Oryzias latipes: one gene and its partners. The protein of the gene in region 1 interacts with the protein of each later gene in a pairwise test. Links are inferred from orthologs where the notes say so. Each region holds a gene or a part of one and is shown in the gene's direction. Other genes may lie near its edges. The genes, in order: DNA repair protein XRCC4-like, aptx and aplf.

Region 1 (5,672 bases):
GCTGAGAGGATGAAGGTTTACTGCAGAATAAACGTCAAAGGCAGTACGGAGGTCGGAGGAGATCAGTGTTTTCTGCCATCAAAGGGCGCCGCCTTGCAGAGGATGAAGGCCACTTTATGAAGCCCTCGGCAGTTACCAGGAAACGCTTGTTACCTGGAAGTCATTACTCCAGCATCTCGCCCGAAGAGCTGGACTCCCGCTCACAGTCATGCACATGTGTCTGATGCTCTGGGCAGTTTGGTGGAGGTGAAGAGGGCGGAAGGAGGCATCCCTGAGTGCAGGAGAGGAGATGAAAGTGGGCTGCAGTTAATGACGGAGATCACAAACCAAAGGAGCCGCGTGGATCTGCAAGGAGCCTTCTGGAGCTAATAGGGCCGAGCGCTCTGCTCCAAGCCTAGGGTGATGCCACCAGGAAGCATGTTTCCATTTTTTTTAGAGTTTTCAGCCTGAACCCCAGAGAGACGCTGCACCTGGAAGGAAAGATGTTCATGCATAGTTTCCTGACGATGCAGCTCCTGGATCACACATGCTGGCGCAATGATAGCAGATCTTTACAGGAGATTGACCTCAGGTCAAAACCTCTCAAGTATTTGAGGGTCATGTGACCCAGATCTTCGCAGAGAAGTGGCAGCTGCAGGGTTCCAGCTGCTCTGGTGGGCATCAAAGCCTTCCTGTGGCGTTTCTGACCGCGTTGCTGCAGGCTGACCCACTTTACTCCACGTTTGCTCTTCAGCAGATCTTCAACCTTTACTGTGTCTGAAAGGTGGAGCTCCAGTGGATGCATTGGATCTCACATTTGTAGGATTTGTTTGCACTTAGTTTTGCAGCAGTTTCTTTCTTTTTCCTGCTGATCATGCAGGTGACTTTTGGATTTTCTCTTAATTGTTGACACTTTTCCCTTTGTAGTTGATAGTCTCAACCTAAAAAAAATTGGTTTTCTTTTGAAAAAATGCAGCAGAATTTCAAATTTCCTGCTGACGGTTGAACCAGGACACAGCGTCATATACCAACCAGTCCGCATCACCAACAGATAATCGAATCATTTCCATTCACACCCATGCGCCTCGCATGTTAGATGTCTCCGCCCAATTCACACAACAGTCACAAAACTTACAGTAAACCAGGCTCACATCAGATTTCACCCACAACGATGAAGATGACTCTTTTAAATGTTTCTTTTAAATAAGACTTTCATCATTAATGATCTGGTTTTAGACCATGATCCATCCTGTCTTTAATCTTATTTAAATGATCTTTTAAAGTAGGAGCACTCGCTGACCCTGAGGTCCTCCAGTGCTGCCTTTTTTAGTTGTTCCTAAGGTGAGGACCAAAACCTATGGTGGGGCTCCGTTCCACCATCACGGTTCTCACCTATGGAACAGTCTGCCGGAGAACCTCAGGGCCACAGAGACTGAAGTTTTCAAGAAGAGGCTCAAGACCCACCTTTATAATTTGGCTTTTAGTTGAAAAGCTAAAGTGAAGTCAGTTGGAAATTTTCAAATAGTTTATCCAGTAGAATTTTACTTTAAGAGGTGTTCTAAATGTTCTTAGATTGAATTAATAAATTAATTAATTATTAATTGAAAAACTAAATTAATATTTTTCATCTTTCTTTGTTTACATTTTGCCAGTTTTGTGTTGCACCTGGGCCATTGATAATTTAAAAACCTTTGGTGATTATTAATACTATATATATATATATATATATATATATATATATATATATATATATATATATATATATATATATATATATATACACGTTGAAATGTATAACGTTGAAATGTCATTCAAACACTAAACAGTAGCATCGATTCTGTCGCGTAACGATGACGTCACAGCCACCTTGGCTGTCTTTCTGTCAAACTCCGCTTCCATCCAAAGCCGCGCGCCGTTCGCCTCTGGTAAGCTGTGGCTTTGCTGTTACTGGCGCGCGAGCCCGTCTTCTGCCTCTCGTCCACGTGCGTCTGTTTACAAACACTTCTCGGTTGAGCTAGCCTGTTAGCCTGCTAGCTCCTAGTGTAGAGAAACGCAGACCGTAACCCGGTTTTGGGGATTTTCGGTACGTTTTCAGTCGTAGCAGCTTTGGGACAAAAGATCAAACTTGTTCTGAACGTGCAGAAGTGAGCGCGCGCTTCTTTTAGGAGCTACCTCTGTCTCAAACTACAGAGTCACGGTAAGCGTCTAATAGAGCTGCTCAGATCAGGTTGTACTGATGAATCTGTAGTTTAAGTGATGAATCTGTAGTTTAAGTGCCTCGTTTAAACATCCTCTGCTCTCATGTGTCGTTGATGGATCCACTGAGACCTGAGGTTAGAGTTCTTTCGTGCATTTGGAGGGAATCCCTGTATGCCACCAATCTGTGAATATATATGTAGTATATGGTATATAATATAGTATATATGGGGTGTTTTGTATTTACTTTTTCTTTACTAATTTCTTCCTTATACGATTTTCCCTTTTGTGGACCAATTGAGTGTGAGGTAAAGCTTATTATTATAATGATTAGTAATGATAGTAGTAGTATAGTATTACTGTAAATGCTTTGGTTCTATTCACAGTTTTAGTGATTTTTTAATTTAAAAATAGACCTTTTTCTTTACGTTTTAAATACATTTTTTGGACTCATATTTTGGACGTTTGTGACGTTTTAAAACAGTTTTCATAAACTTTATTAAACAAAATCCAAATTACTTAACATTTTTGACATCATTTTTGCACTAGTTTATTTTTATATTTTAATCCTTCTTTCAGATAATTATTGCGTGATCAGCGTTTATTAAAGGACGATTCATGACAGACTAAACGATGGGACCTCAGGATTCTTGTTCCAGGTTTTCATGTGTCAAAATAATAAATGTGAGCAGATGTGAATGTAGATCTGCAGGTGGAGGTTAATGCAAACGAGACGCTGAGCCTCTTCAGGCCGTGTGGCGTGGAGGAAGTCCTCGCCATGAGGCCTCCTCACAGAGAGTTGGTGTTTCAGAAAAATGACCAGCTCTGGTTTCATCTGCAGGGATGAACACGGCTGTGCGGGAGATCCACATATCCTCCAAACCTGGCTCCTCCTACTTCCTGCGTGTGGACTGGGAGGGGCGGAGCTTAGCATCAGGCTTCAGGGTGCTGCTCACCGATGGCCAGGATGCTTGGAGTGGAGAAGGTAAAGATGACCCTCGGCATGACGGGATAGAGCTCACACATGCACACGTTTACGTGCACACCCCTCTGATGAGGAAATGACAAACGGACCGTTTCTGTGACCACGCAGTGGGCGCGGCCACCATAGGCGGCGAGGCGGAGGAGCTGGAGATGACGAGGGAGAAGTACGTCCAGGACCTGGAGCGGGCGCTGACCGGAGCAGAACCACCGGACCCCTACAGCTTTAGCCTGAGTCCAGAACCGCCGGGCCGCAGCGTCACGCTGACGTACGAGAAGATGCAGAAGGAGATCTCGGTGAGTCCTGACGCAGACGTGTGAGGCTAGAATACAAACACACACGCTGTTCTTTCACGCATGCACAGTAAGTGTTTCTCTCAAATGTGCACTCTGTGTTCCACAAAAACACAATAAATGTTTCACAAAGATCATTTTTAGGCACACTTGTGTTACAGAGTGACAGAATGTGCATTTATAAACCTCACCTCCTTAGTGAGACAAATCCTGACAAATCCTGAACTAATGTCACCATTGGCTAATGAATCTGTCAATCAAACTCATCAACAAAGCAGGCGTGTTCGCTTTCAGCCAATCGAACGGCCCCTCAGACTTTCTCTACACAAACGTCAGGACGTGGGGCTTTTCATGCAGACGTTGGTCAGACAGGTAAAGGTGACGTTTCAATCGCTGGCCTGTGGTTTTCCTCGGTCAACATCATGGCGCCCTGCGGTCAGCTGTTTGTGATGGGCGTGGCCTGTCACAAACGTTCTTCAGCTCTTTTCTTCTGCTGAACATCTGCTACCTGATGCTTACAGACTGTTTACTTCTTTTCTCATTTATTCTTGTGGCTGAATGTTCTAGAAAGATCTTTTGGGGAATTTTAAATCCTTTAATTTCTCATCTAACAAAAGTCTTTTATTCAGTGATTCAGTGATTTTCCATCATTTCCCCAAACCCTGAAATCATCGCCACACTTTTGGTTTTGTTTCATGAAAAGTGTTTGATTGTTTTGGCTGTGAAGCCTCATGTTTTTGGCTCAAACGCTGTTGTCATGGCGACGGCCGAATGGAAAGGGAGCCATGAATGGATGAAAAACAAAAACGAGAGTCAGGAGTGAGTTTAGAGGTGTCTGTTTCCCTCGGAGTGGAAAAACTCAGCGCTCGCTCCAAGTCATGATGAGAGGCTTAAGTGGGACCCTCCCCCCTCTAATCTGTGTGGGGGGGCAGCATCCCAGGTGTTACCTGAGCAGGTCCACATTCCAGATTCTTCCCGTTGAATGTTCGGACGGAGCTGAGAGGAACTTCAGAGCGTCTGAGGAGTTTCACAACATCTGTCTGTGAGAGGAACATCGGGTTTTGGGTTCCAGATTTATGAACGGAGCCAAAGCGGTTCGAACTGGATTACAGGGAACTCTGGTCTAAAGCTGTTCAAGAAAAATGTAGATATTATATACATAAACGATAGAGAGTTGCGTAATATTTGTCATCTATTGATGACAAAGACTCTCCTGAAAGCAGTTTCAGCTTTGAGGTTCTGCAGTTCTAAGGGGCTCCCTCCTCCTCACAGGACTTTCAGTTCCAAACAGCCGTTTCCATGACAACCCCGACATCATCAGTCCAGGCTGCCATCCTGAATCAGACATCATGCAGGCTCAGCCTGACCGCTCAGGGTGGCTCCAGAACCAGCTGGGAGGAACTGGGTCCAGTTTTTCTGAGTTTATTCAACATTTCCTTAAAGTGCTGACGTCATGTTTGGAAGACCAAGGAAGGATCATGAACATGACTCGTGACAAAGTTTCCTTGTTTCCATCCAGCCCTGCTCAAACACACCTGCCCTTCATCATCAGGTGCCTGAGAGTCTGATGATGAGCTGAATCCGGTGTTTGTCATGTGTGAGTCATGTGTGCGTCAGGTGTGCGTCAGGTGTGCGTCAGGTGTGTGTCAGGTGTGTGTCAGGTGTGTGTCAGGTATGTGTCAGGTGTGTGTCAGGTGGGTGTCAGGTATGTGTCAGGTGTGTGTCAGGTGGGTGACATGTGCGTGTCATGTGCGTGTCAGGTCCGTGTCAGGTGTGTGTCAGGTGGGTGTCAGGTGGGTGTCAGGTGTGTGTCAGGTGTGTGTCAGGTGGGTGTCAGGTGGGTGTCAGGGGGGTGTCTGGTGTGTGTCATGTGTGTGTCATGTGTGTGTCAGGAGTGTGTCAGGTGGGTGTCAGGGGGGTGTCAGGTGTGTGTCAGGTGTGTGTCATGTTTGTGTCAGGTGTGTGTCAGGTGTGTGTCAGGTGGGTGTCAGGTGGGTGACAGGTGGGTGTCGTGTGTGTCATGTGTGTGTCATGTGTGTGTCATGTGTGTGTCATGTGTGTGTCAGGTGTGTGTCAGGTGTGTGTCAAGTGGGTGTCAGGTGGCTGTCAGGTGGCTGTCAGGTGGCTGTCAGGTGTGTGTCAGGTGTGTGTCAGGTGTGTGTCATGTGTGTGTCATGTGTGTGTCATGTGTGTGTCAGGTGGGTGTCAGGTGGGTGTCAGGT
Region 2 (5,354 bases), on another chromosome or scaffold:
ACCGCCGCCGCCACCAGTTCCCCCTTCCTTTAATGCCTTTTCGCCTCCCCTGTCATAGATTTCTCTCTTCTGGGGGTCTGACAGCACTTCATACGCCTGTGAGATCTGCTTGAACTTTAAAGACAAATCGTTTAAGAAAAGAAAAGAAAAACAAGGACGTTTGTGGCAGCTGCGTTATGTGGTACCTTCTCTCCTTCTGTAGGATTTTTGTCAGGGTGATATTTCAGGGCGAGCTTGCGATAGGCCTTTTTCAGCTCGTCAAGTGTTGCGTTAGCCTGAACGCCCAAAGTGTCATAAAATCCCATTTCCTTGACCATGATAGGTTTTTATAGGCCAGTCCTAAAGAAAAAACAATAACAGTGTGTTAACACACACACACTAAACAAATCTGATCCTCATCTGGTTAATCTGATGGTCCTTATCTGTTAATGACAGTTAACAAAATTGGGAACTTTAACAAACACCTAAATAAGAAAAACAAAATAAATAGCAGTTACTGCAAGAGTGAAAGGGAAAAAAAGAAGGGATGAAGCTTACAGCAGAAAAGCCAACTTTTTCTCAGAAATGATAAACAAAGGTGAATGAGGTCCAATTTTCTTACTTGTGTGTTGCCCAATTCTAAGATTGACTAAAATGTGACCAATAAGCAACCAGACGCTGAAAAAAGCAACAACAGAAAGAGTCTTAAGTCTTTACTTGCTAACAAAGCAATCTGATTATGTACTAAAATATTTAAACAACGTCAGATCTGAGCATTGCTGTTTAAAAAAACATTTTTTCAGGCATGTAAATGAGCATGATGGGAGTTTTTGGCTTAGAAATTTTCTGTTGTTTTGTGTGAGAAAACAGAGACGGTAGCTGTGTGTGTTAGGACAGATTGTTCTAATAGAAAAAAACAAATAAACAATGCTGAGACTTTTTGTTCCTCAGGTCAGTTTTACCCGAGAAGCTCTAGCAGCAAACGGGTTATTTGCTAGAGTCTGTTCATTTGGTCAATATCATAGCTGAAAGCTTCTAGGGATTTAGAAAAACACCGAAAATATAATGCAGTCCGACAGGCTCATCATGTCGACTAACATTGGTGTTCTGCTTACTACTGTTCCATTATCTGTGGATAAAGTTAGATTTCTCTGCGTAGAGGGGCACAATGATTCGGCCTTTGTAGCTAATTTAGCTACTCATGTCGTAGCTATGTATGTCATCAACATGGTGGCTTTTTTGCCAATTTTTTTAGCCAACAAATCACGTGTGGGCTGTTGTTAATAACATGTTTCGAGAATTAGTGGTTTTCCAACCTTAAACGAAGACCACGCTTAGCACCCTCACAAGACTGCAGCTCACAACGGCTCTTCCAGAATCTTCCTGCAGCCCTCTTTCTGCCGACTGCTGGTGTGGTGTCGAGTTTTGTCTGCGCGCAGCGCAGACATCTACGTCCACCTCGCGGGAACGCGCGTCGACAGCTAAACCCGACTGTTGGTACTTGTGACCGCACCATGTCGAGTTATGTTCTTTCTCCCAAAAGATATCAATATTAACATGACTGAAACCCACAAATTTAAACCTAAATGAAAAAAAGAACGAATCTAACTTCAGCACAATCACGTTTCAGAAAGTCAGTCATAATAAAAGTTTTAGATACAAAAAAGTGATATTTTAAATATTATTTAAAAAGAGCCAAGCCTTGTTGAATTTTCTGAAACTGCTATGATTTAATGTCCATTCATTGACAAACCAACCAACCAAGAAGAAGAAAAAAGACCAAAAAATTAAAAAGCAACAACTAAAAAATAAAAAAAAATAAAAAGTTGTTTTACAAGATATCATTTTTATACAAGAAAACACGTTTTTATGTCGTTCACAATTTTGCTGTTGTTGCGCGCTCTCGCAAAGTGAAGAACTCTGGGAGGAGACAGAACTTCCCACCCCACCTTGTTCCTCGGTCGCACCCTCGTTCGTCATCACTCCGCGACAAGTTGAACAAACATTCAAACGTGTCCCGCTGCTAAATATTAGGGAGAAAAGCGTAACGAAATGAGAAAATGCCCATTTGCTGGCTCATTAGTGAAGAGGGGAATCACAAACCCATTCACCTGCCTCATTTACAGACAGTTGTCGTGGGTCGAGGCCCAGAAACTACTATCAAAGACAAAAAATGCTCCCGGCATCAAGGTAACGATGTTACCTACAAAAACAGTCTCTAGATTTCCTGTGAGTTCAGTAAGAATGTTAGGAAAATAATCTGTTATTGTTTTAGTGATTTCAGGGATAATACATTTAAGAAAACAGCAGGAATTGAATGACTTGAGCATCAAGTTATTTTCATTCATGTTTGTAAAACGAAATGCAAAGTTTTAACCTGTCTAAATGTTCCTGACTTTCCCATCAGTTGAACTGAAAGCTGAATGCAACAAAGGTTATGTCAAAGTGAAGCAGGTAACATGCTCACAAGAATGATCAGTGGTATAAACAAAATAAAAAGCCTTATTGCTGTACATTTTGTATTATTTTTATTGTTCTATTTTTTTTACCTGTTTTTTTTCTCCCCTCCCTAAGCTGGGGTTAAACCCCACCTCTGTCGGCTCCTTGGTGGTGGGTAAAGGCAATGAGGTCAAAATGAAGCCTGGAGAGCAGCTGCTCGTGGTCAACAGCCTTTATCCATACACCGTGCAGTTCAAAGAGGACACCACCGGGAGCCAGGGCGCCACCAAAAGACCACCAGAGCCAGTCAAAGAGAATGGAGGAAGCCAAAGAGAGACAGACTGCCTGAAAGCTGGACAACTCACAGAAAAAGTCGCTGCAGCTGTCATTCCAGGAGAAGCCACAAAAACTAGTGTGAGGAGAAACAAAGAAATCTACAATCTGTGATTTATGCCTAATATACAAATTATTGTTGCAGACCTGGAGAGTTTTTATTTAAATATTCATTCTCATAATTCATGTTAACTGACATTTTGTAGGGAATTTCTGGGCATTGGAGTCAAGGCTTGAAAACTTCAATGCAAGACCCCAAAATGCAGGTAGCTATAACTCAACATTACTTACTGATAAACGTACGTCTAAATTGAAACTAAATTTAGGTTTTGTTTCTGTTTTAATTGATCTTTTTTTTTTTTTTTTAGATATACAAGGACGATACAGTTGTAGTGATCAAAGACAAGTATCCCAAAGCTCGTTACCACTGGCTGGTTCTTCCATGGCAGTCGATTCCCAGCCTGAAGGCTTTGAAGGCAGAACACTGCGATCTGCTGAAACACATGCAGAAGGTGGCTGAGCGCATGATTAAGCAATGTCCAGAATCCAGCTCACTTAGCTTCCGGACTGGTTATCACGCCATCCCAAGCATGAGGTAAGTCTTTATTATGTGTGTTTATTGGGCTGTTACTCCTTAAAGTACACCATCCATCCATTTTCTTAACCCGCTGTATCCCTTTCGGGGTTGCTGGAGCCTGTCCCAGCTACTGCTGAGGAAAAGCGGTTAACACCCTGTACAGGTTGCCAGTCTTTTGCAGGGCCACACAAACACATGCACACCTCGGGGCAATTTAGAGTCACCTAGTAAACCTATGATGCATGCTTTTGGAGGAAGGCCAGAGTGCCCTGGAGAAAACCCATCGGGAGAACGTTCAAACTCAGCAGAGAAAGGGCCCTGCTGGGAATCAAACCAGGGCCTTCTCAGTGTGGGGCGAGAGCGCTAACCACTACCCCACCGTCCAGCCTCAAATTTCCCCATACTGTTGAAAATTAATAAAGAATAATGAAGAGATGCAACAATTCACTTTCTGGTTTTTCAGGTCACAGTGTTGTTTCACTTTGATACATGTGTATAACAAAATAATAATAAAAAAAAAATTGGTTTTTATTTATTTATTATTATCTAGAAAGCAAGTAACAGTAAACAAAGCCCTTTAGTTTGCTTATAATGACCCTGGTGTAATGTGATAAAACTATATTAAATTTAGCACAATGCTCGTATTTGTTACTTTCAACATAAACATATGCAAACATATGCAGTAGGGATGCAACGATTCCCCTGAGAGCTTGTGCTGAAGCATCACTACCTGGATAAATAAAGGTATTACTGCTTTAAATGTGCTCATTGTGGGTTTGTTTTCAGAGCACAATAAATCATCAGAGTAGTGTTACACGAGGACATCTCGGCTGAATTTGACATTTTCCCACTAATGAACCGTTCTGTTTACACTCTTCAGTCACATCCACCTCCACGTGATCAGTCAAGACTTTGACTCTCCTTGTTTGAAGAACAAGAAGCATTGGAATTCCTTTACCACAGATTACTTCATAGATTCTGAAAGTAAGAGCAGACTTTATGTTATTGATTGATTTAGATGTGCTGTGTGTAAAATCAAGCGTTTTCTTTTTTTAGATGTCATTCAGATGCTTGAAAAGGATGGGAGCGTCTCTGTGAAGGATGGGACTAGTGAGCTGTTGAAATTGCCTCTCCAATGTCACGTGTGTCACAAAGAGTGTCCCACCATTCCTGCCCTGAAAGAGCACCTGAAGCACCACCTCTCTAAATAACCGTGGGACTTTTTTATTCTGGGCTGTTTTGCTCTAAGTTAGCTCATTTTCTAGAAAATTCAGAGCGGGAACATTATTTTTTCAGGGTTTCTGTCTGTTGGAGTTTGAAGTCAAAATACCCAGATATTCTTCAGAAATACTTGTTATCCATCACATGTCACAACATTCTTTAGAGTTGCCTAATAAAAAAACTCTACATGTTGCAATAATTGTTATCTAAATACGTAGTTCTCCTTTTTCCAAATTTAGCTTTTAAGCATTTTGACTTTATTGTTTGGTTAGTGTTGACTGTGAAGCATTTTTTATGGTTTTGTGTGAACAAACAACCGTTTTGAGTTTGAAAGACTTAAGTGATTTTCAGCAAATAATATATATTAGTGAATAAACTGTACTGAACCAAAAGACGTGTCAATGGAATAACTCTGTCACCATCTAGTGTTCAATCAGAAGAATTAAGTTATAAGGGTAAGAGAAGGTTTAAACCGTATGTATTTTGGTAACCCTTCAGTGGCGCCTCCAGAAATTTTTCATGGGGGTGGCCAGTGGGGGGCCACATTAAATCTTGGGGTGGCACACAAAAACCATGAGCTATATTTTTAAAATTCATTCTACCAAACGTAGTAAAACAACCTTTAGAAAACCAATAGAAAGATAAATGCCTACTGATATTTTGTAGAACATGAATTTATAGTAGATACTACTAGTATAATAACTAATAGATACTAGTAGATACCATTAGTAGATACTACTACTGATATATATATATATATTTTTTGTTTATATTCAATGCTTAGGTGTGTCTGCTTGGGCTGTTC
Region 3 (5,624 bases), on another chromosome or scaffold:
GGGCCTACACCTACACAACTGTTCCAGAGAAAACTTTTATTTTGTAATAAAATTGGTGTTTTCTGTCATACTCAGGTCTGGATCATTTACAGTCTCATTCCAAGTTCTTGTGGGGGTGGAGGGTTGGGGTTGGGGTGGGGGGGTCATCTGTCCAGCTCAGCCTGAAGGATCTCCCCCCACGTCTCTGCGTCCAGCGGCGTCATCCTCCTGCCACGCAGCTCCGCCACAGAGCGCACGTGACTGTAGCGCCCCGTCAGCCAGTCGGCCTTCAGGCGGCTGCGGGCGTAGTTCCTGACCACGGTGACCTGCAGGGGGGCGGAGCCACACGTGAACCGGGAGAACGCACTGACCACTACACCACCGTGCCACCCTCCACCCTTATCCAGAAGCAAAGAGGGAGACGGACAGCTCAATGGCATGAGGAGGTGCGATGAGGAGGAGGTCAATGACCTTCATCATCAAGGAGGTCAGGGACCTTCACTTACATGAGGGTCATGTGATGAGGGAGGGGCCTCAGAGGGAGGCATCAGAACTCCCCCGCCCCCCCTATAACCTGGCCATATTGGGGGAGGGGGGAGACCAGGCTCACCTTCCAGGAATGGCCGTGGCTCCTGTCGCGGTCCACCTCCCTCTGGCAGACGGCGCGCACCACCAGGCCCTGCCCCCTCCACAGCTGCTCGCTCTGCTGGATGACGGCGTGCCACAGCCGGCAGGTCTGCGAGGCGCGGCACAGGCTGTCAGCGTCCAGCTGGCTGAAGATCCGCACGCTCATCTCCAGAGGAAGCGCCTCCACAAAGTTCAGAGGGGGGCGTTCGGGGGGGGCTGCCATCAGGGTGGGGCTTCCTTCCATCGGGTGTGGGGGCGGAGTCTCTGCAGGTTCATCCTGCATCATAAGGGGGGAGGGGGAGGGGGCGACTGAAAGATGAAAGACATTTATGGGGGTGTCAATCAGATTTTAGCACGTGGATCGTGTAGTCTCAGACCCACCTGGTCTGCTCCTCAGGGGTCCACAGCAGTCCGGGATCCGGATCGGCCTTCAGAACCTTTTCATGTGGCCTCACTTCCGGTCACGTTTCAAAAACGTCACAGGTGCTGAAGACAGAAGTCCTACCTGCTCTCTGTTTGGCACCTGAGCCTCGGACGTGGGGGCGGGAGGCGCACGTGACCGAAGCCTCAGAACCGGATCAGGGCTCAAGCGGGACCCCCCACCGGGACCCCACCCCCACCTCCGTCTAAACGAGTGTTTTGGGGGAGAGCAGCTAGCAGACAAACGCCGCCGGTTCCGGTCTGAACTCCGAGCAGAAACGGAATCGGGTTCTTTCCCGAGACGCTGAACCACAGGGACGCAGTAATCAAGCGCGGACAGGACACGGGGTTTGATCCCGACAGCTGACTGTTTAAATGTCCCAACGGTTGTTTGTACACAGACGTGACGTCATCGTGAATTTAAACCACGCGCATGCGTAGAAAGGCCTCACTGTCAAAAAACCAAACTCCGTTGTTTTTAAACTTTTGTAATCTAATGTGAAATTTAAAGAGAAAATATTCTTACTTAAAATCCAAACAATTTATCTTTTTTTGAACGTTTTTTTCTGCGCAGGTCAGTTTACTGATCAACACTTTAACTTCAGGCTGACATGAACATGTTAAGTTTTTGTTTATTTCAATTTTTAATTACTCAAATTGGATCTTTCGTAAAAATCGATGGAAATTTTAACTTTTTTGCTGACACCTTAAAGACACCACTGCGCATGCTCCACTGGAAACCGGAAGTCTGGATTCAAAAGTAGCGGAAGTTGTTCCCGAATTCACCTGCGGCTCTCAGACCCGGATTTCATAGTCCAGATCCGCAGAGACCCGGGTCAATTGGACCCAACGCATTTTCCGAACCGCGTGTGTTGATAAACTCTTCCCGCCAGCCGGACCCCCCCGCCTCCGGAGCTCATGTCCGGCTTCCTCCTGGTCCCGGTGGATGGCGGGAATCCGGTCCCCGTTCCGCCAGGGGAGACGCTGCTGGGCCGGGGTCCCCTGCTCACAGTGAGTCCCGCAGAGTGTCGGGTCAGACAGAGGCGGGGCACGGTCACGTGACTCCGCTGCCACAGCTGGCAGGTGATCACCTGACCTCTGACGCAGAACTGGAGCTGGTACCCCCCTCAGGACAAGTTCCTGAGGGGACGTGGTGTGAGGGACGCTGATCCTCAGCTCCATCGCCTCACAAGTGACTGAGTGTTTCTGTCTCCACCCCAGATCAGCGACAAGAGGGTGTCGAGACGCCACGGGCTGCTGCAGAACCTGGACGGAGAGCTGCGCCTCAAACCGGTACCGACCCCCCCCAGACACACACTCTCCTAGAGTTCTGAACACGGCGAGGTTCAGGAGGACGCCGCCGTCACGTTTTCGGTTCTGCTAGAGTTTGCATGTAGAAAATCCAGACGGTTCTGGTTCCACAGCGACCCGATCGGGTCTTTCAGTTCAGGGTTTGATGATGTCACATCCGGCCAAGATGGAGGAAACCACTGACGTTACATGAACAACGCAACCCGTCACACGGTTTGACCAAAACAGAACCGGATCTGTTTGAGTCCGGTTCAGCTTTACTGAAACGGTTCTGAAGAAGATCCAGGTGGAACTTCAGGCAATCAGAACCATGTGGATCCATCCAGGATGACCTCTGACCTTCTCTGTTCTGTCTCTGCACCTCCTCAGAGGAGGAGCCGTGCCGTCTGCAGATGGTCCTCCTGGTGTCTTCGGGCCTCCCCAGATCCCAAACTGATGCGCTCATGTCCCTCCCCAGACCCACGCCAACCCGTGCTTCATCCAGGCCTCCCTGTCCTCGGAGCCCCGCCCCCTGCCCCAAGGATCCTGGTACACGCTGCGCGATGGCGAGCTGCTCTCTCTGCTGCCGGGGCGGCTGGTCTTCAGGGTGGAGGCCGTGGGCTCCAGGTATTCCAGGAGGGTGTGGGCGGCGCCGCTTTTGTTTGAAGCTGGGATCAAACAGACGGAGGAAGACCCTCCAGCTGATGAAGAGCTGCTCCTGCAGGAGCTGCCTCACGTCTCTGTGTCCTGCAGGAGCATCCGGAGCGCTGAGGAGGAGGAGCAGCTTCCCGCCTCAGGAGAAGGTCAGGAGGGTCCAGCAGGAGAGGAGGGGGCGGAGTCAGACGGGAGATCCCGACAGGTGGGTGCCCCGCCCACACCGTTATGTCAGGCCCTGCGCTGAAGCATCAGGAAGGAAACGGTCCTCGAACCCTCGTTGTCCTTTGAAGTCCGGCCTTTGATCTTCACAGACCAACATGGAGGATCAGAGGCACGCCGCTCTGTCTGAGGTCAGGGTTCGAACCCTTCCTGCCTGGATGATGGCGGCCGCCGTGCAGACCCCAGCCCTCATGCTCAAAGGTAACTGTGGCAAACGGTGCAAAGATTCATGGGTAAAAAAGCCAAATTCAACCAGAGAACCCGAAGGAATCTCTGTATGCCAGGGGAACGCTCAGAACACGAGAGAACACCTGGACTCACCTGAGCGGAACAGCAACGTCCTGCAGAGACCATCTTTGGCTCTTCCTCAGAAATTGCTCTGATCGCTTAGAAAGAGCCGGATCCAGTTCTGATCTGACTGACCGGTTCTGTCTGGTTGTGGTTCTGCTCTGTAGAAGCATGTTGTTGGTCTGATGGGGTTTTGTGTGTGTTTAGTTCAGTCAACTCTTCAGAGGAGGAAACGACCTGCTGGCGGTGTTCAGGCCACGCCCACATCGAAAGAGGAAGAGGAGCAGAGAAAGAGGAAGATGAATGCTGAGGAGGAGAAGGCACCTGAAACGGTTGAGTAAAGCGGTGATGAAGATGCTGAAGCTAAAACCTGCTGAGCTTCTCTGTCTGGAGGTTCCTCCTGGACGGTTCTGAGGAACCCGCCATGCAGACGGTTCTAAGGAACGGTTCTGAGGAACCCGCCATGCAGACGATTCTGAGGTTCTAAGGAACAGTTCTGAGGAACCCGCCATACAGACGGTTCTGTCGGTCTAAGGAACGGTTCTGAGGAACCCTCCATGCAGACGGTTCTGAGGTTCTAAGGAACGGTTCTGAGGAACCCGCCATGCAGACGATTCTGAGGTTCTAAGGAACAGTTCTGAGGAACCCGCCATACAGACGGTTCTGTCGGTCTAAGGAACGGTTCTGAGGAACCCGCCATGCAGACGGTTCTGAGGTTCTAAGGAACGGTTCTGAGGAACCCGCCATGCAGACGATTCTGAGGTTCTAAGGAACGGTTCTGAGGAACCCGCCATGCAGACGGTTCTAAGGAACGGTTCTGAGGAACCCGCCATGCAGACGATTCTGAGGTTCTAAGGAACAGTTCTGAGGAACCCGCCATACAGACGGTTCTGTCGGTCTAAAGAACGGTTCTGAGGAACCCGCCATGCAGACGGTTCTGAGGTTCTAAGGAACGGTTCTGAGGAACCCGCCATGCAGACGATTCTGAGGTTCTAAGGAACAGTTCTGAGGAACCCGCCATACAGACGGTTCTGTCGGTCTAAGGAACGGTTCTGAGGAACCCGCCATACAGACGGTTCTGAGGTTCTAAGGAACGGTTCTGAGGAACCCGCCATGCAGACGGTTCTGAGGTTCTAAGGAACGGTTCTGAGGAACCTTCCATGCAGACGGTTCTGAGGTTCTAAGGAACGGTTCTGCGGAACCCTCCATGCAGACGATTCTGAGGTTCTAAGGAACGGTTCTGAGGAACCCGCCATGCAGACGGTTCTGAGGTTCTAAGGAACAGTTCTGAGGAACCCGCCATGCAGACGGTTCTGAGGTTCTAAGGAACGGTTCTGAGGAACCTTCCATGCAGACGGTTCTGTCGGTCTAAGGAACGGTTCTGAGGAACCCTCCATGCAGACGATTCTGAGGTTCTAAGGAACGGTTCTGAGGAACCCGCCATGCAGACGATTCTGAGGTTCTAAGGAACGGTTCTGAGGAACCCGCCATGCAGACGGTTCTGAGGTTCTAAGGAACGGTTCTGAGGAACCCGCCATGCAGACGGTTCTGAGGTTCTAAGGAACGGTTCTGAGTAACCTTCCATGCAGACGGTTCTGAGGTTCTAAGGAACGGTTCTGAGGAACCCTCCATGCAGACGATTCTGAGGTTCTAAGGAACGGTTCTGAGGAACCCGCCATGCAGACGATTGTGAGGTTCTAAGGAACGGTTCTGAGGAACCCTCCATGCAGACGGTTCTGAGGTTCTAAGGAACGGTTCTGAGGAACCCGCCATGCAGACGGTTCTGAGGTTCTAAGGAACGGTTCTGAGGAACCCGCCATACAGACGGTTCTGTCGGTCTAAGGAACGGTTCTGAGGAACCCGCCATGCAGACGGTTCTGTCGGTCTAAGGAACGGTTCTGAGGAACCCGCCATGCAGACGATTCTGAGGTTCTAAGGAACGGTTCTGAGGAACCCGCCATGCAGACGATTCTGAGGTTCTAAGGAACAGTTCTGAGGAACCCGCCATACAGACGGTTCTGTCGGTCTAAGGAACGGTTCTGAGGAACCCGCCATGCAGACGGTTCTGAGGTTCTAAGGAACGGTTCTGAGGAACCCGCCATGCAGACGATTCTGAGGTTCTAAGGAACAGTTCTGAGGAACCC

The links.
Region 2: the proteins of DNA repair protein XRCC4-like (region 1) and aptx interact in binary tests that used the Homo sapiens proteins (3 or more experiments, as listed by UniProt). The link is inferred for Oryzias latipes from reciprocal best matches to the Homo sapiens genes XRCC4 and APTX.
Region 3: the proteins of DNA repair protein XRCC4-like (region 1) and aplf interact in binary tests that used the Homo sapiens proteins (3 or more experiments, as listed by UniProt). The link is inferred for Oryzias latipes from reciprocal best matches to the Homo sapiens genes XRCC4 and APLF.

The regions. Positions count from the first base shown.
Region 1 is NC_019870.2:1,149,900-1,155,571, forward strand, and holds the start of DNA repair protein XRCC4-like, read left to right. Parts: upstream 1-1,816; 5' UTR 1,817-1,904; exon of another isoform or gene 1,905-2,176; intron 2,177-3,016; 5' UTR 3,017-3,018; coding exon 3,019-3,160; intron 3,161-3,268; coding exon 3,269-3,453; intron 3,454-5,672.
Region 2 is NC_019859.2:15,249,399-15,254,752, reverse strand, and holds aptx (aprataxin), read left to right. Parts: upstream 1-1,939; 5' UTR 1,940-2,039; coding exon 2,040-2,169; intron 2,170-2,386; coding exon 2,387-2,433; intron 2,434-2,553; coding exon 2,554-2,832; intron 2,833-2,957; coding exon 2,958-3,017; intron 3,018-3,119; coding exon 3,120-3,346; intron 3,347-4,208; coding exon 4,209-4,312; intron 4,313-4,384; coding exon 4,385-4,539; 3' UTR 4,540-4,943; downstream 4,944-5,354. Other genes in the region: dnaJ homolog subfamily A member 1, read right to left, coding at 1-114, 186-317. UniProt on the Homo sapiens protein: DNA-binding protein involved in single-strand DNA break repair, double-strand DNA break repair and base excision repair.
Region 3 is NC_019859.2:725,122-730,745, reverse strand, and holds the start of aplf (aprataxin and PNK-like factor), read left to right. Parts: upstream 1-1,918; 5' UTR 1,919-1,944; coding exon 1,945-2,037; intron 2,038-2,247; coding exon 2,248-2,319; intron 2,320-2,794; coding exon 2,795-2,943; intron 2,944-3,069; coding exon 3,070-3,175; intron 3,176-3,284; coding exon 3,285-3,393; intron 3,394-3,687; coding exon 3,688-3,812; intron 3,813-5,624. Other genes in the region: fbxo48 (F-box only protein 48), read right to left, coding at 144-305, 590-892. UniProt on the Homo sapiens protein: Histone chaperone involved in single-strand and double-strand DNA break repair.